Lepisosteus oculatus: one gene and its partner. The protein of the gene in region 1 purifies or fractionates together with the protein of each later gene. This does not show direct contact. Links are inferred from orthologs where the notes say so. Each region holds a gene or a part of one and is shown on either strand. Other genes may lie near its edges. The genes, in order: tgfbr2b and smad7.

Region 1 (11,590 bases):
AGTTGGGGTGATCAGCCCTAGCTCTAAACCACTTTCTATAACTTTAATACTACCTTTCTTTCATTTTTTCTGCTTTCTGTTCCCCGATCTTCTCTAGATCTTAAAATCCCAATGACCATTGGTGAACAACTCCCCCCGCTCTTTATTTATGGTTTCTATCTGTCACTGAGATCGATTTGTGTGGGTTGACATCACCTAAATACAATTGCCTATCCAACATTTAGAACAAATGGCCACAGGGCATCGACTGTACATAACAAACATATGTTAGAATTTTCAAAACCAAACCTACCTTGAAATACAGTTCATTATTATACAAATGTCCAGAATGTGCAGAACATACTGTACAATGTATATTTATATGCTTCACATTATAAATTACTACATTTGTATCATGCCACCCTGTCCCTCTGTCTCCTTATGCACTTCAGTGTTAAAATGTAACATGCTTTTCTGCAATTCAATGGGAAAAAATGAATACTGGATGAAAACATGGATAATCTAAACACATCTTTTTCCAAAGTCAAAACAAAAGCACACCCCTGATCCAGCTGACACATTGGACTGGTACAATGCAATCTATCTGTACTTCTCTCCACAACAGCTCAATTTCTGCAAATGAATGCACCAGGCTGCAGGTCAAGGGGATGTCGGGCTCCACCCAGCCTTGCAAAATAGATTGTTTAGTTGCAGTTAGACCCTTTAGCACAATACATCAGCCTGAGGTATGAGTCATCGCTGAGTAGGTGGAGTTGTGGGCTTGAGGGGACAGTCATACCAGACTCATCTGAAAATATGCCGGCCACTTACCCCCAGATACATCTCAATGCTGAGCAGAAAGAAAGCATTAAAGGTTGTCCTATCATTACGATGCAATAACGGGAACCAGGCTCCTAATATTACTTGTATGACCTTATTTCATGCGCACATTCATTGCTTCCCATTAATTTGAACTGCCACGATTTGTGTTGTACTTAGAAAAGGAGAGTTTTTACTTTTTCTTTTTCTTCAGTTCAGACCTGCAGAAACGTAAGTGAATGTAGCTTGAAACCAGCAGTTTGTTTCCTTTCCATAGTTGCACAACCAAAGCGAAAAGGAAACAGGAAGCAAAGCTGTCCTGAAGACAAACAAGACAAGTCCTGAAACTTGTCTTAATAAAAAGAAAACCTAGTCTAAGGTTAGGCTGGATGAAGTGACTGACGGTTTTTCATAGTGTCTGCGAATGATACCTTTGCACATCTGTAAATGTTTGCTTTTTCTTTAGTAAATCACACAGTATATTTTCATTACTGTGTTTAGCAGCACGTGGTACAAATGTTTCAACCTCAGTCTTTGAAATGAACACGTCACCTTACACAGACTTCTTGATACCCGTTGAAAGCAAAAAAACAAACAAATTTGCACACATTTCAAAATAAATCAATCGGACAATGATTTTGATATTGTTTTACAGTGCCTGTGCCAGCTGTTCCTTCCACTACACCTTGAGTCAAAAATACATTTCACCAGGGATGACAACATCCAAGGGCTGTATGCTTTGTGAATGCTTGGACTACTTGGTGAGATACAGTAAGTTTGGCTTAACGTGCTAGGTTAATGGCCTAATTGGCCGCCTGCTGGCCACAGGACGAGGAGGCTCAGAGCCCTTTCAGAAGGAGTGACCCAGGAGCTGCTGTGAGGTGGAAATGGTCTGGAACAGGCAGGCTTGAGATGAATACGAAGGGAGGCATTCAAGATTAGTATACATGGCTAATTTCATAATGATTGCGATTAGGTACAGCTGCATGAGACTGACTTGTCCGTGTTATCCCTCCCGAACTTCGCTTAATAACTTCCATATCATATGCTTTTGTGCAAGCAGAACATTATTTGCAGGAAGCTGTGTACCATTTGTGTTGAAGCTCCACTTTGAACTACCCTACTGATGCCTGAGCTAAACCTCAGAACAACTGAAAGGCTCCCTGGTTCTATGACTTAAGCCTGCTGGTATGTCACTCCTTTTGCTCATTCCACAGTCTATACATCTCCACAAGCTTCATAAACTAATGAGTCACAGGGAGCTCGGATCAGATGAACTCAGTGCAGGTGTGTGGGAGTAAGTTGCTATTGCTAGATACAACAAAAAGAGGATGTCTATAAACAGCCTCTTGTTCTTTGAAATGTTTCATAATTACTTGTTTATTTGAAGTGAAATATGCAAGTGTTATTGCATACATTATACTGTATATATTTCCAAGGCTGTAGGTTTTTCTTTCTTGTTTCCTATTACATGTTCTTATAGTCTTAGTAGCGGTCTGCTTGGCTGCCAAGGGACTTTCCAATATGTTTGGAAAATTCCTCCACATAATCTGTAACATGAGCATGTAAAAAGCACCTGGGCTTCAGTATTTTTGAGCTGTGTTCTGCTTACGTATCATTTGTGGTATTGATGATGCAGTGGCATAGAAAGCTATGATCATGTAGCCTAGCACTGGTGCCACAGATAAAAAAAGGCGTTAGTAGCATCATCCGGGTCTAAAAAACATGGGGAATCCATTGAAAAGGCAAACTGGTGTGCCAGCTGACAGTGTAGTACTGTAACACAGAATTGCACTGGAGAAGCGATTAAGATTCTGGACTCCTTACTGGATGGATTTGGGTTCCAAGCCTTGTTAGGCAGTGCACGACAGGTACTTCTCCAAATTGCTCCAATTGAAATACCAGTTCTACATAAAGGGGCACAATATGTTAGCAACTTTACCCTATTTACTTTAAAGCACATAATTTAAAATCAAGGAATCTTCACATAGTATAATACATGTATAACAACAGGGGCATAAAAATCACAATGGAGAGCTGGCCTTCAAATACACTTTAATCCCATCCTTCTTGAACACTTACTGTAGATAAGATAAGATTACTATAAGCCATATACAATTTCTTGCATAAGGAATTTGTCTTTTCACATACCCCACCTTGCTCTCTGTGAGACACACAGACAGGGAGAGAGAAGCTTGGGGTCAGAGCACAGGGACAGCCATTTATACAGCACCCCTGGAGCAGTTGGGGGTAAGAGCCTTGCTCAGGGGCCCAACAGAGAAGGATTCCTCTGCCGGCCACAGGATTTGAACCAGCAACCTTCCAGCAGCAGGCACAGATCCTTAGCCACAGGCCCACCACTTCTGGGATGTCTCAAAACACATTCTGCACCTGTAGCCCACTGTCCTGAAAGTACTTCCCAGTTGGTCCCTGCTGGGTGGAGGACAAGGACGGGACAATCCAACAAGGGTCCTTTAACTCACTCATGCCTGTCAGAGGGAAACTTGTGTAGGCTCTCAGTGCGACGTCTGACAACCTTCTATACTTGAGAATAATTCCTACTTTGTAAGTGGTGACTACTGCTCATTTTCTGTTAATATATTTCTAAGCACCTGATGTGGTTTCGTATAAACATCCACCCTTTTCTCTTTCAGACTGAAGGCACGAAGATGATCCAGAGTCTCCTTACGGGAAGGACAGGTAATAACTCTAGTCCAATGTGTGGGGTGTTTACGTATATGGATACACAGAATTCCAGAGTGCATTGATTCAGAATCCATTCTTTTATCAATTATTCTATACTATGTCAGTAAACCATATAATGGACGACTGAAACACTACAATCATAACCACTTCACACACAGTGAACGTGCAAAAACAAGAATCTGCAAAACAAGAATTAACCTATTATTAAGATTATATTAAATTTTTTTGCCCACAAAATAATTTTGGTTGAGTCAAACAGTAACCAACTAACTTTTACAGTAGACGTACTGTATTTTACTACTAGACTTTTCTGGCAGGGGGACTTCACAAAGGTCACATTTTGAATGAGCTGTAAATGACTTAAATGAGCTTTGCTGTGAGAGTAGCTTCCTTTTTTCATGAAAGTGGGAAATTTGGCAGTATCGGAAAGGCCACCCCGCCCACCAGCAGTGTTTACTCTTCAGGCTATTAAAATATTACTGTGAATTCCTCATTCAATGGGTTTACTTTATATGGATTAATTTAATGGACAGATATTAGCCTTCTAGTCTGATCTGGCTTATTATCCTGCTGAATAACAAGCACCCACAATCGTGTGCAAAACTGTTTCAGGATTCCACACATTGTTTAAATGCTTTTCTTTGAAAAGGTTTTGGAACATATACAAGGGGGTTAAAAATATGAAGTTTAAAAATCATCAAATTGTAGCCTTACAAAACGTGAATCTTTTCATAATGCATCATACTGTTATCTGTATATTTTTTAGATATGTATAGGCTGCATAGGAGTGGATATGTACAGTATGTGTGTACTGATAATGCCTACCTTACTTTCATACAGTAATGATATTAAACTCTTTAAAACACTATAGGAGACTAATAGGCCTTCGTCACATGGCAAGCAAAAGAATGTTATTAAACACGTGCAACTACCAGCACAGTAAAAAAAAATCTCCAGCATGGCTTTAACTGAGATGAGAAGAACAAGAAGTAGCTCTGTCTGAACTTGCTTCTCAGACACACTGGACCTTTGTGTTACCTAGAGTTGTCAAAACTTGTTACGTCGGTATCCCGGAAACGGCGAACGTACAGTAAACATTTGAGGATAAAATAATATACATCGTCTTGGCAGCTAGTTTAATTGCAGCGTTGCAGAGGGAGAACCACACTTAGCCGTAAAAGCAGCATAATATATTTTTGTCCGCCGTTCCCGGTTTTAAAAATAAACATCACGTGCTAACACAAGGAAAATGCACAGTGTAATAGGGATGTACTGTACATCAAAACACAAAGATGAATAAATCTCATTGCTTTCACAGGACCCCTGCTATTTGCTTTAGCTGAAGACACCCTTTGCAGCACCCTGTTCTCATTCTGACACAGTTCTGCTAGAGCCTGCTTTGCAGAATGGATGAAAGAATTCAGGTCTTAAAACTGACAGTATAAAAACCAGCACATGAAATATGTTCATTTGTCTTGGCCGTGCAGCAAGGACGGGCTACTGTTAATGTTTGGGTGTGCTGTTGGAGCTATCCTGCAGACGAAAAGAAAGGATTGCTTCATCTTTCTAAGCAATCAGTAGTGTTTCTGTTCCAAATGCACGCTGTGAAGGCCCTCTTCACTTTCATTAGGTACCATGTGTTGTGACTGTCCTTTAACAATAAATTCTAATATCCTGGAATTAACTGAAAACCAAAATATGGGTGTATTCAGCAAGGGCTGTAAAAAAGGGAACATGGGGCCAGGCAGAATTGAATGAGCTGTTCCAAAGAGGTTGACAAATACCAAAACAGATGATTACTTTGAAGCACAGAGTGAAGTAGACACAGATTGAAATTAAGGAGGTAGGTATCTCTTAGTACAAAGGACCGTACTTAAACATAGAACCTCTTCATACTGTAGCAATTAATAAGCATTTAAAAATGTTGAGCTACACACAGGAATTCAATCTTTTCCCATAAAATCAGATTATGTGATACAGTATGTGTGAAAGAATCCACCGACTCTTCTGCTATCATGTACTGTAGTATTACAGTAAATGTCTTGCATACATTTCTTATTATTTTACAGTGGTTTTGACTTCCTTTTCTATAGAGTTACTAAAAATGATCCCTCCATTCAGCGATAAAGTATTAAGACACCCTCATACGTACTAAAAGTGGTTATGTTCAACAGGAGGAAAGCATCACAAAAGCATGCTAACCATTTATATACAAGTGTATAAACCCCCAAAATAATTTTTCAATCCTGTGTGTCTGTAAAAATGATCCCATCCTTCATTGCTATGCATTTAATGAGCAGAGGGAAATCAGTTTCCATTTTTTTCGCCAATATGTGAATATTCTAGATGCCACTTTGTTCCCCATTGTTGTTTATAAACAATCTCCTTTTGTTTTTCCGTTTAGATTTTAAAATGTATCAGAGAGCATTCCTGTAGGATGAGTGTGAGTCAAAAAAGACTCGCATTTCAAGGGACTTGAGTGAACAATACTTTTCCCATAGGCTTCAAACGGTTGTCAGTAGTGCTCTTAACACGCCACATGTCTTTTTAATCATTTTGTTTAGGTTTTCAGGAACTTTGCCTCCACTCAGAAACTTTTGTCCAGACAAAAAACATTGTGTGTATATCCCTAATTCCAAGGTGAAACGCAGTGTCGCTCTTTTTACCGACAACACGTGAGATAATAACAAGTAAAATAAAAAATACCTTAATTACATGTCTCCACCTCCCCCAGGAAGTGCATTTTCACCACTATCTTGCAGATAAACTGCTACTTAACAGAAAAATATTCGAAGAATATATGAAAACCCCAACCTGCCCTGGGATTTTAACCTTGTTTTTAAGTCCTGTGAGGAAGATCTCTGGTAACTAACCACAGGACTCATCGGGAGACACCTATTACTTGTACGGAGGACGTTAAACAAGTTAAAACTGCAATAGCTGAAAAGTTGTTTCCCTGTAGGGCACTGCCTTAAGCGCACCGTTTTAAAAAAAAAATCAATGTGATTTTTATGTGCTTAATTTTCTTTTAAATTGGAGCATACCGTCCGTCTAGAAATGCGTCCTTTGGAAACCGATGTTTTGTGTGTATCTGTCTTAAGCGTGTCATTAGGCGCTTGCCTCGACTTGAAGGAGAGTAAACTACAACTTCTAAGGGACTGACAGCTTCGGGAGAAAAAAAAAATTAGTCCTGCCCTTCTCTCAAAGATTTCCTGTTTCGCGAAAGAAGTGAATACAGTCACTCTCTGACTCATAACCCGGGGTTTAGAGTATTTTCATAGCTGAAGGCAGGCGCACAGAGTTTGAGACCAACATTTTTTTTCTCCAAAAAAAAAAAGAAGAGTTGTTTTCTTCGACTTTTCTTTCCCCACTTTGCAACAGAAGCGCACAACGTTGAAACCTTCAATTGGGAGGACGGGGGGAACATTTCCTCTCCGCTTTTGAAGGGCAAGGGAAGAGAGAGCAAAAAAGAAACATTTTAATGAAAAGTCAAGGAAAGGTATCGGTGTTTGTCTAAATGAACCGACTTCGTTTATCAGTCGTGCTGTGGAGCACTACCCTGTTCGCCAGCTCTGTGCTCTTCGGCCGGACGGGTGAGTCTTGTTGAAGGTTTTATTCACCCTTGAACTTCACCAATTTCTTTACCCCTTTTTATAAAAAAATATATTTTAGCCAGTCCAGTCGAGTTCGTTTTTTTTTTAATTGTTGTCCACAAGCTGCCGGGTCTGTTTGAGAAAGCAGCAAATAAATAAATAAAACGTTTCTTCTATCGCAGGGGGCTCGTTGTTGCAGAAGTACAGTATACGCGTTATTTCCTTATGTCTTTTGCTTTTGAAGGCTGAAAAGTTTTTTGAGGTTAAAAACTAACAGCAATGCGTACGGATATGCGCCACAGGTGGTTGAACTGTGAAAGGGCAGACGACCCCCCCAAAAATGAGAAATCATATTTTGGGGGTGTCTTCTGTTGTTATACCTGTAAACGTGTGTTGGAGTACTACGTACTGTATCTTTCTTTTTCTTTTCAAAATGATCTTGCAGCCACCAGACTATCAATCTTCAAGGTTAATACTACCATGTTTTTTTTTTGCCCATACGGAAACTGTATTGCACATTGTAGATTTCTTTATCTGCTGTAGCAGTTAATGATTTGTGCTTATATACAGAAATATAGTAACGTACATTTGGGAAATGGTGGTGTTTCTGAAATGTATCTGAGCACCTTGCCAGTTATCCGCTGGTAATGAAAGTGCTGTAACTGTTTGGGGGAAGTTCAGTTTTTCTTTTTCACTTGTCGGAATTTCTCTCCCATGTAAACGCTAATTGCATTTGTTCAGTTTAGATATGATATCGAATAGCGTGCTCCTTTTTTGCCATACAGTGAGTTATATCCGGATGAAAGTGGTGTTGCTGGGTTTTAAAGTTGAAGGCCCTTACTCCGGAGTGTGTGTAGATGAATGTACTGTATACGGTTGTCAGTGTAGTCTCAGAGGAAGAGCTATCTCCTTTACATTCTTCTTTTACAGCAAACCCGTTGTTTTGTACTGTGAGTGATCAGTTATTCGATTGTTTATATAAATATGATGAGCACTTAAAGCGCCTTAAAACAGGCAGCGTGAAAACACCAGTCGTGGATTAACAAACTGTACTGTAAAACTTAGTGGCGTCAGGATAGGTGCAGTATGCAGCAACTTTTTGCACAAGTGCCTGAAGCGATTTTGTGTGGGGGTAGCCAAGTATGTTTTGCACCTCGGCCTAACACTGCAACGCAGTTCGGTCTTGGAACAAGTTTTTTTTTTCCTCTCTCAGTATTGAAAACACCACTTGAAGTTGCAGAGTTTTCCAAATAAATTCTTGCTGTGCAGACAGAGTCCCACTTACCTGTTTGGTTTTGTAATGAATTTTACATTTATACATTAGTGGTCCATACATCCATTTTCTAACCTCTTTATCCAATACGGGGTCACTTGGGATCCTGAGTCTATCCCAGCAAGTTAGGGAGTAAGGCAGGATACACCCTGGATGGGATGCCAGTCCATCACAGGGCACATACAGACAAAAACACACGCACACTTAAACCAGGGTCAGTTTTTTACAGAAGCCAGTTAACCTCCTGGTATGTCTTTGGATAAGAGCACCCCGAGGAAACTCACTTAAACACAGGGAGAACATCCAGAAACTACTCTCAGGCAGCAGCCCAGGTCCAGAATTGATCCCAGGGCTACAGTGCTGAACTAGTGTACCCCTGTGCCAAAGCAATAGACCACATGAAGTCAGCAAATACAGTGCATTTTTCTGATATACCTTGTGCATTTTGAGGGAGAAAATTGTGTTGGTATGGAGTAAGTTTGCAAGTAGAGAAAGTGTGGGGGAAAAACAAGCTTTATCAGAAAGAGTTGTGTGAGACGAAATGTCAGTTTCTTTTGAAAGATGACAGATCCCAGATAGATAAACTGCTATTATATCCATGTCTGTAAACCTATCCTTTTAAAGCTGGAATGTGCTTGCAATTAACATGAGCATCAAATTGGATTAGTAATATTTCTTGCTGCATATAATTTTCTATTTATTGTTCTTTCACTAAATCTGTCATTATTACTTCTCATGTGGTTTTAATAGTGCTGAGTACTGTGTATGTTACAGAGGACTAATAATCTAATGACCTAATGTTGAAAATATGAGAGGTGTAGGAATTTCCTGTCAAAAGCTGTATAGATTGCAAAACAGTCATGTACGGAGAAAATATTTTGCCTCTCAGGCCTCGGAGGATCCAAGCAATAACACATAATTTCAAGAGCAGTGGTATGTTTATTTCACAAAAGGTGATAAGAAGGTTAAGTAATGAAAGAGTAAATCTCTGTAAATAAAGTGCTTTAGACAGCAGAGGGGAAAAAATGTTCTATTGGAAGCTACAGTGTGCGAACCGGTGAAACGTCGTGATCTGCAATGTACTGCATGTGAAGGCCTGTGGCAAAGGAACACCTATCTTAGCTTTGTGTGTTTTCACAGAGCCATACAATGTGTACAATACATCTGCCCTCCTGCTGAGATATTCAGAATGGCACCATTGAATGCACGCTTTACTCTTTCACAAGATTGACTTGGGTGCAAATCAGGAGGGTCGTCTTGCGTTCATTTGTGCGTTCCGTTTCGAGAACGAAATGGACTCGTTGATGCTGCAGCAGTGCCTTGGATGCAGTGATGCTGCTCGATGCCATGTTGTTTCAGGCATGAGTGACGCCCCATGGCAGTGGAAGAGATACATTGTTCCATTTGCGTTGCTGCGATTGTCTGGATTGCTGTCTGTGAAAGGAGCAGAACCAGAAGGAGTAGTTTATTTACGTTTAACAATAATCCTAGAAGGCATTCTTGCTAAGGCTAAACAGCTGTGTGACCACCTAGCTTCGTAATCACTGGGCACTTGCAGATCGGCTAGGCTTTAGCTGTGTTATGCCTTTGCTCGGTTGAATATTGTTGCTTAAATAACATGCACATCATAACAATAAAACACTAACTCATCACGGAACAATTTACATGTGTATAAGTGTACATATATGTATATACATATAAATATACACATACAGTATGTATATACAGTACATTTCCCTTTTTCTTCTTATTTTTCAGTACTTCAGTTAGACCCTAATGATTGCGACAGAGAAACGAAATATCTAGAAATTACTTGGCATGACTGCCTAGCTGTAGGAGGACTGAGCTGAGGAGATGCTGCAAGACTGCGGGTGGAGAGGTGTGGGTAGCAGTGTGACAGAGATGCATGAACTTGCACTTGTGGGGCAAGAACCCAGGACAGAGAGGTCCTGGGTTCGAGACGTACTGTATATACGCCGGCGAGCAGAAGTGTGGGAGATTAGGACCTGACCTTGCTGCCGAGCTTCCGTTATAAGCCCCGTAACGTAAGTCACCCGTTTGTCTGTAATTCATATTGAACTGGTCTGGCCGTTCTGAACGAACTCGTCCGTAAATCCGAAAGCTGGAGGCCAAATGGAGACCACAGGAGTGAAGCTAAGCTCTTCTGTCTCGGAGCAGCTCAGCGAGACAGCATGGTCAGCCTCGAGCTGCTTTTCTCTCCCGGTAGGCCCTGTCATTGGACGGCTCTCCTGTGCACAGGCCTTCACCTCGTGCCGTGAAGTCAGTCCTGCAGAGGCCCCGAGGCTCATCCTGTGACCACTGTTACTCACTGAGGGGCAGACATGCAGCGCCGTAATTTTCTGCCTTTTCATTACCTTCCCGTTCCCTACTGCAAATTACAGATTGGCTGACTAGTCATTATCATCGTTCTGGTGTTTTGCCCTCTGGTCCCAGTGGATTGGTGTCCCCCGGTCGCTGGGGGATAAGCGCACATGCTGTGGCTTCCTCGCGCAGGGCAGGCCATGAGAAAACAAACCCACCAATTAAAAAAAAAATGTCTGCGACAGTTTCTGTGAACAAGCTCATCTAGGAGCGTTGCAGGGAGGGAGGTGGCTGAAGTGTGGGCATTGCACGTACTCCCAGTGCATTCTGCATCGTATTTAATTCTAATAATTAATTATTATTTAATTATAATTTCGTTGGCAGTTCATATACTTGACATACACTTTTTAAATGACTGTGACTGTTAGTCTATTAGTGCACACTTGTCTCAATATACATCTGCCCGTGTGTAACATTCATGGTAACAATGTACTTGAATAAGGCTAAAAACGCACTCATAATTCCTTCATAAGCACCACAATGCACAATAAAATAACATGCATAAAAATCCGCAGACCGCCAAATACTCAAACTGTTGTTCTTGTCAGCTCTCAAGTCCTTGTCGGTGTCTTCCATCGTTTTTCCTGATTTCACTGGATCTGTAGTGAACCATCACAAATATCAATTTCAATCGCACAAACGGTTGTAAAGGAGCCAAGCAATGCTGGGGCCCTGGGTTCAAATCCAGACCTGGCATGCTATCTGTGTGGAGTTCGCATGTTGCCTTGTCCGTGTAGGTGCTCCTGTTTCCTTCCCACAGTTCAAAGACAAGCCGGTGGGTTGATTGTCTTCTGGGAAACGTGGCCCTGGTGTGAGTGTGTCGGCCCTGGGGTGGACT
Region 2 (11,636 bases), on another chromosome or scaffold:
AAAATTTTGATCCACTTGACAGTGGGGCTGCAGACACTACATTGAAGGTACAGCAGTGAACCAACTACAGGATGGGTTTCTTTGGCTATTATCCAACCCATTTTCCATTTCCAAGTAACAACAAAATGCTTCACATACTAAAGAACTTTCTTACCAAACTCCATAGGTTTGCTCTGATAAGGACTCCACAAAGCTGAGGTGCTACGAATTTTTTCACCAGACTAGAATTTAACACCTAAAGGATACGTTTTACCAGGCCTGAAGCTTTGAATTCCTTGCGTCAAACTGCAAGGACTGCCCTTGAAAAAAAATGTGAACATAGTGAAATTGCTTTCAAAATTTTGTCCACTGTGCTTCTAAAATACTTAGAAAATGCAATCAAATTTTCCAATAGTGGAGACTGACATTTCTAACAGAAATCTCTTGGGAAAAGTTGTGTTTCTCCTGACCCAACTCGAAACATGCTTTCAAATAAGCTCACCTGATATTGTTATGACATCTGTGAGGCAAGGCCGAAAATGAAAGCCCCATAAATGAGTCCTTTCTCTCCACACCCCATTGTCCCAATGTGAAGTTTTCCTGCTTTTCCTTCAAAAGAGCTCCAAAAAGCCTTTCTACAAGTTATACAGATGTTTGGATTAATCACTTCCTCACAGCTGATGGTGGGGAACTTTTATTTTCACATTGCACTTATTTGCTGACTTTTTTTGTGTTTATTGATGCTCAGCTACCGCTGTCAGGGTCAGCACGCGCTAATTAATCCGCATCACTCATTGGGAATGCAGGAGAAAAAGGACTCTGCCAAGCTCACCGGAAGAGTAGTAAAAGGTTAATGAGGCCCTGATAAGCATCCTTGAGGGAAGCAGTTTCCCAAAATATGTTTTCCTATCTAGGCAATGTGGCTACACAGTCCCCATTCACAATGTACCAGAGCTTTAAAAGCAGCTACCAGGAGAAAAAAAATAACTCTAAAATAAAAGTTTAAACAGCACTAAATAAGAACATACTGTATACACTGCCACTAGAAAAAAATGCTTTTACACTTCGAAAATACTTTTTCAAAAAGCTCACTGCAAATTCAGATCCTCCAGCGCCAATTATTTTATGACTCACTATAAAAGTGCATAACCTTAGACCTGGGAGGATCCAAGCTTGTATCTGGGTATGAATCCAAACCTGCCTTTCTGACTGTCCAGGCAGCCTTGGACAAATGACTCTATCTCTCCTGACCCAACTCAAACATTCTTTCAAATTAGCATTAGTAGATATAAAACAGCACATATGGCTAGCCAGTCAACTTTTGTAAATAAAACCATACTGAAGGGTTAAATATATGTATTAGTTTTAGATACTTTTTTTTCTTAAAACCATGTTGGAAGATATCTTGTGGTGGAGAAAAAAAACATACACAAAACGTGAAATATTTAACTCTGATACATTCAGTGGAAAAGTACTGAACATCCAATACGAAGTGGGTGAAAGTGCTAGAGGTGTGCTTTTATTTTTCCAACTCGAGACACATTAGATTATCTGTGTCACAACAGACCAGCAGGGAGGTCGGAATGCCAGTGCTAGCTGGGAAACAAAGTCGGCGCCAAATACATACCAGTCTGAACTAAGACTACAGTACAACAAAGGGCAAACTTTACAAAATGTGGATAATTCATGCGTTATCAAACTGTGAACTACACGGCAGCATTTCATGTCCAGCTAATCCAGCTGTAATGGCACAGGCAATAGAATACACTTGCCAAACTCATGTTTAGACACCAAGACCGACTCTTTTCTCTTTTCACTTGAAAACAACAAAGCTGCATCAAAGGCTGCACTTGCAACTCATCCCAAGGTGTCTCCATGTCTGTCTACTACAATCAGCAGATCCCTTCCCCAGATTAAATGTGGCTCCAAATATCTTGCCCCCTCCCCACCAAGTAATCCGCATTTCCGATTTCCTCTCAAGCGCTGACCCCCTCCCACCCCCCTCTTGCCCCCAGCCCGCTGTGCTCTGCTGCCAGTGCTGTTTATCTGGCCTGCCAGGTCACCCGCCAGCCAAAAGTTTGTGCAGACAACCACTACAGAGCTGGTGCCAGCCTGGAATGGGCTTGAGTCTTGGCTGCAGGCCATCCTATTACAGGGGCCTGGCATACACAAATGCATTCTGATTGCCCTGCCATAAATCAAAACATCTGATGGAGACTCTAGATTTTGCAAAAGAGGCAAAAGATCCTTCATACCCCACAGAGCCATATGTACATTACATGTCACAGGTAGACCTTGCTGTCTTATAACAATCGAGTCGTTATTTCTGCTTGTCACCTTGTGCTGCCTTTGAAATGCCTATCATCAGTCGTAGCAGTGGTGAATCAACATCAATAACAAAATAAAGTACAATTAATATTTCAGCAACTACTTAAAAGTCATATGAAACAATGTCACACGTTCATTAAAAATCAAACCATTAACAAAAAATAAACCTGCTGTGACAGGTTCACATATACCTCCAGCCATTACTGTTAAGGTAAAACAAATTGCAAAATAAACCAAGTTTAACTCACCAGGTGGTTTAAGAAAGTCCATTGGGTATCTGGAGTAAGGAGGAGGGGGAGACTCTGAAATGAAAAACGGCAGAGAAAAGACAGAGCCATGAGAAAGGGGAGACAGAAACTTATGATAACAGTGGCATTCTTTTAGAAAACTGTTTGTCTTAGCTGCGAGGGTTGGAGGCAGGGCAGCGAGGCGGTGATTGCCTTGATATTTAGCAGTCAGATAAACAAAGGGGGCCGCCTGGCGCCAGTCTCCTTGCTATCTGCGACTCAGGCTGTGTGATACGGGCCTCTTTTGGCTCAACTGAAAACTCTCCAGTCTCTGGAAACTACCAACTTGATCCCGACTGTCCGGTTATCCTGTAGCACCTCGTGTATTTAATTCTTAAAGACTGATTTTATCGGATTGAAGTTTTTAGTGTAATTTATATATATATATAAAATGACCTCTCTCAGGACCATCAAAAGTAATTTAAAAAATCTCAATCCTGCCTCGTTTAATTTAGCCATAATCCGATTTACACTTCGTTACAGCTGATAAGTGTGTTGAAAATTTTGGCTCCAGGGAACGTCAAAAATGCAACAGACGTAGGCGACCAAAATAAAAAGGTAGACACCTTACTTATTTTACAATTTAATGCACTGAAAATGTGACAAAGTGCAGTTCATTCTATATATTCTTACCACACCTTTTTGTTTACTACACACGGAAAAAATGTTACTTTTTAGTCTAGAATGCAGTTTATTAAACTTACAAAGGAGATCAAAGCATATGTATTACAGATTCTTGTACAGATATATCTGTTACAAAGACATTACAAGTCTTTCATACATTGGTACTATGCTTCTTTGCGTTTACCTACTGTCTTAAATTTTAATTAACTGGGTCGTTTCAGGTTGCCACCGCTAACACACAAAGTTATCGATTAGATTTTAGGTTACAAAAACTTTGCATTACGGTTTTCAGTTGTCCCTTAAAAATGTCCGAATACTGTCGCCAAATTGCCTGGCCAGACATTTTTCGACTCTTGAGTTAAAATTTAGCATGCCTGTTATCTTTTGTCACGTTATTTAAAAATACCGGAGAAAGAAAATACCAACTTACCTAATTCACAAAGCCTGCTCATATGGTGAGGATTGCAGCAAACAAGCTCTGGGTTAATTTTCCCATAAGATTCACAGCAAGATAGCCTCTTTAATTCCGAGGAATGCCTGAGATCCGGCCACCTGAATACTTTGTAGAGCAGCAAAGGAAGGGAGTACGTGTGCTGACCCAGTTTGGAGTCCACTTTGCTCGGCAGGAGAAGACAGGGGCTCCTGGCACCCCCTTTTGACTCCACCGCCTGCAAAAGCGCCTCTAATTGTTTCTCTTTGATTTTCTTCAGTATCGAATGGGTCAATGCTTTCAATTCAGCCTCCGTTCCGCGGTTAGATTTGGAAACCTTAGCCGATTTCCCCATGCAGCAGCCCCCGGTTCCATGCGTTCGAGTATCCGCCTCCCCGTCGCCCTCCACGGGCGCACGGCTCCTCCAGAGTCGCCGGACGAGCCCCGATCGTTTGGTCCTGAACATGCGGGACGAAAATAGGGTTTCCCGGCTAAAAAACGAGCATGATGTCCGCAAATCATGAAGAATCCGGGATCCGAGTCCAGGCAACGACAAGCAGCCTGAAATAATATTACGGAAAACGTAGGATTTGGAGCAGCAAAGGCAATCTGTAGCATACGCCAGTCTCTTTTATTTCTAAACCAAAATTCCACAAAAAATATCCAATTAAAAAGGCGCACGGCTTTCCGTGTAACCCCCGTTCACATTAGCTTTATATTGGGGGTACAAAAGTCAGGAGCACCTAATCAGTTTAGTTCTTCAATGATAAATACTGAAATAAAACTAGAGTAGGTTATGTTAGCGTAATACTATTCAATGCAACCAAGCAAAAACACAAAAATAGCAGCCGAACTGGAGTACCTGGACTCATCGGTATTGGTAATGTTAGGAAATAATCAAAAATCGTTACATTAATAGTTCCTTCAATATTTAAAGCGTAATATAAAACAGTACGTGAAAAAAATAAACCACAAACTACAGTGGACAATGGTAACGATAATAAAAATGTTACGAAAAGTAGAAAATGCAGAGAGAAAATACATCCAAAGCCAATCTTGTCCTGGTTTTCTTAAGATTTAATCCACACAATCCTTGATCCGATTGCTAAATAACAGGACTAGCTGAGACTGTCTTTCCCCCTTCTCTTCTTTCAAAGATTATATCCGCCTGTCTGTTCTGCACTCTTGGTCATACATTAGGTTTATTAATTTTAAGAAATCATAAGCTATTGTTTGTTTTTCCAAAGATCCAAACCGGTCTGAACTCTAGCAAATCCGTGAGTGACCTGGTGAAGTGGCAGTCCAAATTTGCAATGTCTTGTACTGAACACTTGCTTTGCCAGTATAATACTGTGCAGACCCTTCGGTTTCGTCCCTTTTTTACGAGCACCGTATCTTTTATATTTCCTTATTCTCCGTTATCCGACCTCTTTTAAGCAGAAGTTTCCGTCTCGTCAAAGAAGGAGACTCCAAATTGTAAGTCTGCACAGAGGTGATGCGATCTTCGGGAGAGAGGGCTGAAAGTGACGTGAATTGCCCAAAGTGCCCTTGCCTTCTCTCGCTTGCTTATCTCTCTCCCCGACTCTCTCCGCTCTTAGCTCTGTCTCCAGTGCGCATTGGCGCGCCCCATCACGTGGGTGTCTAGACACCCTGTCGCTTTAAAAAAAAAGTGATTGTGTTGCGCAAACAAGAGATCAAGTAACTTAAAGCCAGAGAAATCGTTCTTAGGAAGAAAAAAAAGTTGCATATTCTCAGAGCTGATGAAAAATCGTTTGACTTGGAAAATGAAAGTTGACAAGCAAAAGGAAGACATTGTGTCCGCTTTTCCATGTATTAATGTATTGCATTTTCTCGCTAACCAACATATTAAAAAAATGTTTAGTGTATGAGAGGGATTGAATAAAGGTATGATTGTGGGATCGTTTAACATGACACTTTTGATGTAATTTAGGCTTTGGAATTAATATTCGTCCTGTTCACGCATTTTAAAAATGTTACCATTATTAGCATTTCTTGAAACGTCTATACATTCAGAATGACCGATTCTAAGCAATAGACAGTGTATATATATACCATCAGAGTATACAGTATAATTGCATTGAGGTTGATGAGACTTATTATGTCAAGTAAACTGATATTTACTATAACTCTGAGAAAGTAAAATGGGTCAATATCTAAGTTATAATAAACGGAAAGACGAGTGTGTGTCCTGTGTACTTGGCTTACTTGGCCCCGAAACCCAGATACGGTTTAACCCAAGGTGGCAGATAGGGCAGTTAAATTGGAAAACATTAATAACACCACAGCAAGGTTACTTTTCAATAGCAAACGCGATTCTGAAACCTGGTTAATAATAGACAATACATGGTTAATAACAAAGAGGTGTTGATAAAATGAATGAAGAATTATTTAACTGGATCAATTTCGGCCTTTCAAATTTAAGATACACACATTTCATTTTAGTGAAGCATGTTTTGCTAATTTCTTATTGTTATTTTATATATATCAACTTCTGATTGTATTATTTGGTATAGTATTCGATGCGTTAGTTTACACTTATAACAATGAAATGTAGCATTTTTAACCATTTCCTGTGTATGCAATCGGCTCCATGTCACCCTTCATTAATTGTGTATCTGTATATTTTCAGTGTATATAGTTAACGAACGCATAGATCAATTTGCAATCATCAGTTCTTCTTCTGGTACTCTGACGTGTTTGTGGGACATCCCCCGTGCTTCTTACCTAAACTATCTACTTAAATGATGTGGTTGTGAGACTGGTTTAAATGAACTACGGTTTAAAAAAGCAGAATGCACAGAACAGTTGGCATTGTGCCGTGACAGACAGTCGAAGACGGCTTGCATTAACCTATTTCACTGCACCAGAATGAGAGAGATACTGTAGAGACGAATAGAAACTTTGTGGGTAATCGTTTCTGTAGCCGTTACCTTATACGCTTTAAGCTGAATTGCACTTCAGATATAGTGTACTCGAGAAACTAGGCTACAGAAATTGTTAATACGCAAGATGTTGGAAAACCGCATCTCTGAAGCAGCTACTGATGAGCGAGGGTATTTTACACATGTACTTCTTTTTCTGCGTCTTAGTAATTGTCTAGCTGTATTGGGCTATAGTGAAGGTGCGAGGTGGTTTACCGAGTATTTCCACGAATAAGTATTTTGCGATCGTATGCATAGACACAATACTTCTACTGTCAAAGATTTAGAAATTCTATCGACGCACATTAATAATCACAACACGCATTTCACGTATTTTCACTTCATGTCTTGTGAAGGTGCTGTATGATAAAGCGTAAGAACACTGAAACTGGTGCGAAGAAGATTTTTCTGCCCTGAAATGTGTTTGAATTGGACAAAAATCGTGATTACTTCTTTGTACAGTAGTCGTCTGTGTTCTGGACCTCTGAAAATGATCACGTTTTAAACTATAATATCTAGACCAGAAATTTAACGAAATACCAGTAATTGCATAGTGGTGGAATACATAATTCTGATCCATAATAATATGTAACCTAGCCTTCACCATGCAGCAACTCGCCCAGATAAAAAGTAACAAAGTAGCACAGCAGAGTAGGCACATTGAAAAGATACTTCTGGCCGGTTTACATTTTCGAACAAATCGAGAGATTTAGCTTACAGATATGCGATCACAATTTTAATGGCTCGTTTTACAGTGTTTTATAAAGAAATGGATACAGCCGAAATTCTAATGTGTTTTTTCCCTAAATAATAACGGCTGGAACGAAATTGTAAGTATAATTTTTTTCATAACTGAGTGCGAAGTGTAGAGTGTATTCATTCGGGATGATTAAACTGGCCCTTTAAGCGGCCTCGGCGGCTGGGTGGACAGAGATCTTGTGTGAGTTAAGAATGCCGACGTAATTGTGTCCTAGACAGTAGGGGAGGTGCAGTATGTTAATATGGGTGCCAGTCAGTGTCGCTGCAGGGCAGAGGGATGGATGATAATGATGATGGGAGATGTGTGCTTGGGAGGCGCCGCCAGTCAATGGTTCAGTCCCATTGTTAGCAGATTCCCCACTGGCGCCGCACAAGAGCTGCGCTCAACTGGCAACCTTCAACATTTAAGGTAGTCTGGAAGTAATCATGCAGAAGCGCACAGAAGTGGGCTGTGACGTCACGATACAGCATAGCATGTAGTTATTGTAATAGAGCAATACCGCAGGATTCCTAAGGTATCGCTACGATAATGTATCACGGGATATTTCTGGTAGTACTACATTATTGTATTGTCCTGATACATATACCAGTATCATAAGGGCATAATTGAAATTTAATTGTGGGGGGTGGTTATAAAGTGAAATTACGTAATTCAGCAATCATCGTGAAAATTGTACCATGGGGTACTGAAATTTGGTAGCCCACACATACAGAAGGGAACATCGGAGGGCACGTGTCGCACACCAGAGGGCGCTACCCGGTTCAGTGTGACCCACGTCTGTGTTCTGAATGGTTTGCATGAATGGGAGTGCGTTGTACTACATGGGCGGCAGTACGAGGGCTGCCTACTGTTCGTCCCGGGTGCGAGGTCTTCTTGGTGTTGTTTGAATTTAATTGTAACAAAATGCAATTGCTCCTTGCAGCAATTTTCACAATAAAGTGAAGTTCGAGTCGACCATTCTCTTAAAAACACTGAAATCTGCATCTTTCCGTCACGCAACCAAAAACAAATATATTCGCTGTGAATGGCCTCAACAGAATAAGAAAAATTATAAAAATCAAAACATATCCATTGCAATTAAAGCAAAAACACATCGATTTTCACCAACAGGCTATAATAATTATATATGGTTCATATTGCTACATAATACTTATGTTCTCTGTTAAAAAAATACTATACAGTTTGCAACCTTATCAGATGCGATGTTTTGTGTCATGGTGCTCTTGTTCTTAAACAATTATACTCTTCATGCAAGATTGCTTGACTATTAGTATACTGCATATTACTAAAAGGGAAATACTTTTATATGTAAGGTATGTGTGATAATTGCAAAAAGTCTTTATATTGATAGATTATACTTTATTAATCCCGTAGGGAAATTGATGTGTTATATAATAGAACTGTGATGCATGTTAGTACCAGGCCAATCTTAATAAATTATAAAATGGACAGCAAAAACATGAGAAAATCCCAAACCTTTGTAAAACACAGTTATCCCAAGTTTTGTTTTCATAAACAAACAAATATTATTTATTGGAGAAAAATAAAATAAGGAATATAATATTTAAGAATTTTGTCCAGGTAAAATATTATTTTATTTGAGTGTTGTATTGGAATGTTCCTGCAGAATTACTTTATCCGAGTCCAAAGCTCAAAAAGAAATGATGCCACATATGAGGCTTATTTTTCATTTTCCATTTTTTTCCACAGCCAGTTTGGAAATAAGGCATTTATTTATTTAAAAAAAATAAATATACAAGGTAAAACAAATAGGTAAATAATCTACAAGTATTTTAACCACAGGCTAAAATGTGGTTCCGAACATGAGCTCCATCCAGCTGGAGTTTGCACTGTTTACTGTTCCCTCTTGACCTTACCATTTTAATGACAGGCTCTTCATTTTTACATGTAACACAAAAGACCAGCCCTGTAGTTCCCCAGCTTAGCTCTGAAATAAATTTAGCTCCCACATTATAGATAATGTGCATTTTTCTGACAGAGTTATTTCTTAATTTCCCCAGGTTATAAAAACATAAATCATTTTTAGTATTGTGAAATACCTTTAGCTTTACCAGGTTGTAATAAGATGGTTGCTTAGCTGGTCACAACAATATTTTCACAAACTAACAGAAACTATCATATCTTTAATATAATTTACATTAGGTTTAGCTTTGTCCATCCAAATACTGAAATGAATATAAGACACAGAGGCACTTCAGAAAGAATCAAGAAACTCAGTTTAATGATAGATGTTAAACATGTTGAAATGTGAGACTGTTGTAATAAGGTTTCATGGGAAAATGCCTTGTAAAAATGAATGTACTACACTGAGAGCCTAAAAGAACTTAGTCTTGAACAAACAAGATAGGACCTGAGCAAAATATTCAAAGTCCTTCAAGATGTTGGCAAAGCTAACTGTGTGGACTTCCTTGGAATCAACAGAATGAGATGCGAACCACAGAACACTAACAAACACTTTGTGGAAGTGCTTTTTACTATCCAAGACATAGATAAATGTGTAAATTCTATACATTTGCCCATATATCTAGTATTTTTCTAACCTGTTTATTATTTTCTCACAGTAAGGAAAATAATTATTTAACATAAACACATAAAATACAAATTCTACATTTTGTAATGTTCATTCTGCCTGTTTGTAATACTTTGCACTTTTACATTTAATATGTCATTGAATGTGACAGTGGAAGAGACAGCTAACATCCTAGTAGCAAAATCAAGAAAGGTTTATTTCAAAAGCCATTTGATTCCAGAAGTTATCAGTTAAAGGCATGTCATGCTGCCCATGTGTAGCAGGGCTCATTTATTATGAGTCTGGTACAATGACGTATTCTTTTGGAACTTCAAAGGTACAGCAAACCCAGTTTTTCACTTGCTACATCTTTTGGATCACTTGAAGTGTATGCCTGCCTGTGTGGAGGTTTGCAGAGAGATTATGGATTAAATCACACTCCGAATGAACTGCACTTGTGACACATGAAGGCACATAAGCAATATTAAAGTGTTATTTTCAATTTTAATTGTCAGTACCTGTTATGCTAAGTTATGAATATATCAAACTCTCTGTGGGTTTCATATGATGCAAACAGGGTGATCAATAGGGTGATTTTTAAAACAGTTATGGGCTAATTTCTAGGTCACTTGCAAAGCCTGCAACTTGAGGCCCATCTGCTTGAATGATCCTGTCAAACATGTTCAGTGGTTTCAGCATTCCCTGTCATACATGGATTCCCAGAGCATGAGGTTCTCGTTTGTCTCTCTTTAAACCTTACACAATTCTGCACAGTGGAGAGGGCTAACCACTATAAGTCATCCATCATTACTTTGTGAAATTTTACAATGTTCTCGCACTCCTTTGTGAGTAATTTAATGACAGCTTTCTGCTCAAAACATAGAACATTAGATAGGTTACAAATGAGAGAAGGTCATTTAGTCTATTTAATTTGTTTGGCTGCTAGTAGCTAATTGATCAAAGGGTTTTATTCAGCTGTTTCTTGAACAAAGACAAAGGTATCAGTTTAAACAACTGGCTGGGTAGCTTTCTCCATTTACCCACAGCACATGGTGTAAAAAAGTGCCTCCTGTTCTTGGTGTGTAAATGCACATGAGCAAAGTCATTGGAGGTTGTGCTCCACCTTAAAAATAGAACACACCCATTAACCCAGAACTTGATATTAACCAATTATATGAATACAGACACATGCATGTATACTGTATAGTATGTGCTTGTAACTGTAAGAACAGAATGGTCCATGTGTGCCTAGCACTGGCTTAATGGAAAATGACCTACTTAGACAGATGGTATCAACAAGAAATAAACACCCAGCAATCAATTAGAATTCTCTAATAGTTCATGGTAAAATAGCCAGCCTATCAAAACCAATGCTATCTTTACCACATGTAGATTTCAAGGTAAGTCATAGCATTTTGGTTTTCATCTTTCAGAGTTATGATAAGTTATTTCCAAAGCTCTGGCTCTACCAAACTTTCTGTTTTATTGTCAATATTGTTTTTTTAATACAGTATTATTAATGCAGTTATCAAGTAATATACTGAATATGCTTTTTATACAAGGAAAATGTTCAACATGTGCTGCATCAAGTTTTTTTTTCAACCAAGAATGTACCAAATACAGTATATATAGAAGCTTTTACTGTTTAGTCCCTGAAGGATGCAAACTTCCTTTCAGACAGTGAGGTAGCAGTTCAGGCCTTACAGACATTTAATATGGTTATCTTTGGTTAAAGTGGAAACTGCAATCAATCACT

What was found.
Region 2: the proteins of tgfbr2b (region 1) and smad7 purify together in Homo sapiens (affinity purification with western blotting; 3 studies listed by BioGRID). This does not show direct contact. The link is inferred for Lepisosteus oculatus from reciprocal best matches to the Homo sapiens genes TGFBR2 and SMAD7.

Annotation. Positions count from the first base shown.
Region 1 is NC_090705.1:41,080,237-41,091,826, forward strand, and holds the start of tgfbr2b (TGF-beta receptor type-2), read left to right. Parts: upstream 1-6,550; 5' UTR 6,551-7,021; coding exon 7,022-7,097; intron 7,098-11,590. UniProt on the Homo sapiens protein: Transmembrane serine/threonine kinase forming with the TGF-beta type I serine/threonine kinase receptor, TGFBR1, the non-promiscuous receptor for the TGF-beta cytokines TGFB1, TGFB2 and TGFB3.
Region 2 is NC_090698.1:21,265,800-21,277,435, forward strand, and holds the start of smad7 (mothers against decapentaplegic homolog 7), read right to left. Parts: upstream 5,241-11,636; 5' UTR 4,115-5,240; coding exon 3,649-4,114; intron 2,610-3,648; coding exon 2,556-2,609; intron 1-2,555. UniProt on the Homo sapiens protein: Antagonist of signaling by TGF-beta (transforming growth factor) type 1 receptor superfamily members; has been shown to inhibit TGF-beta (Transforming growth factor) and activin signaling by associating with their receptors thus preventing SMAD2 access.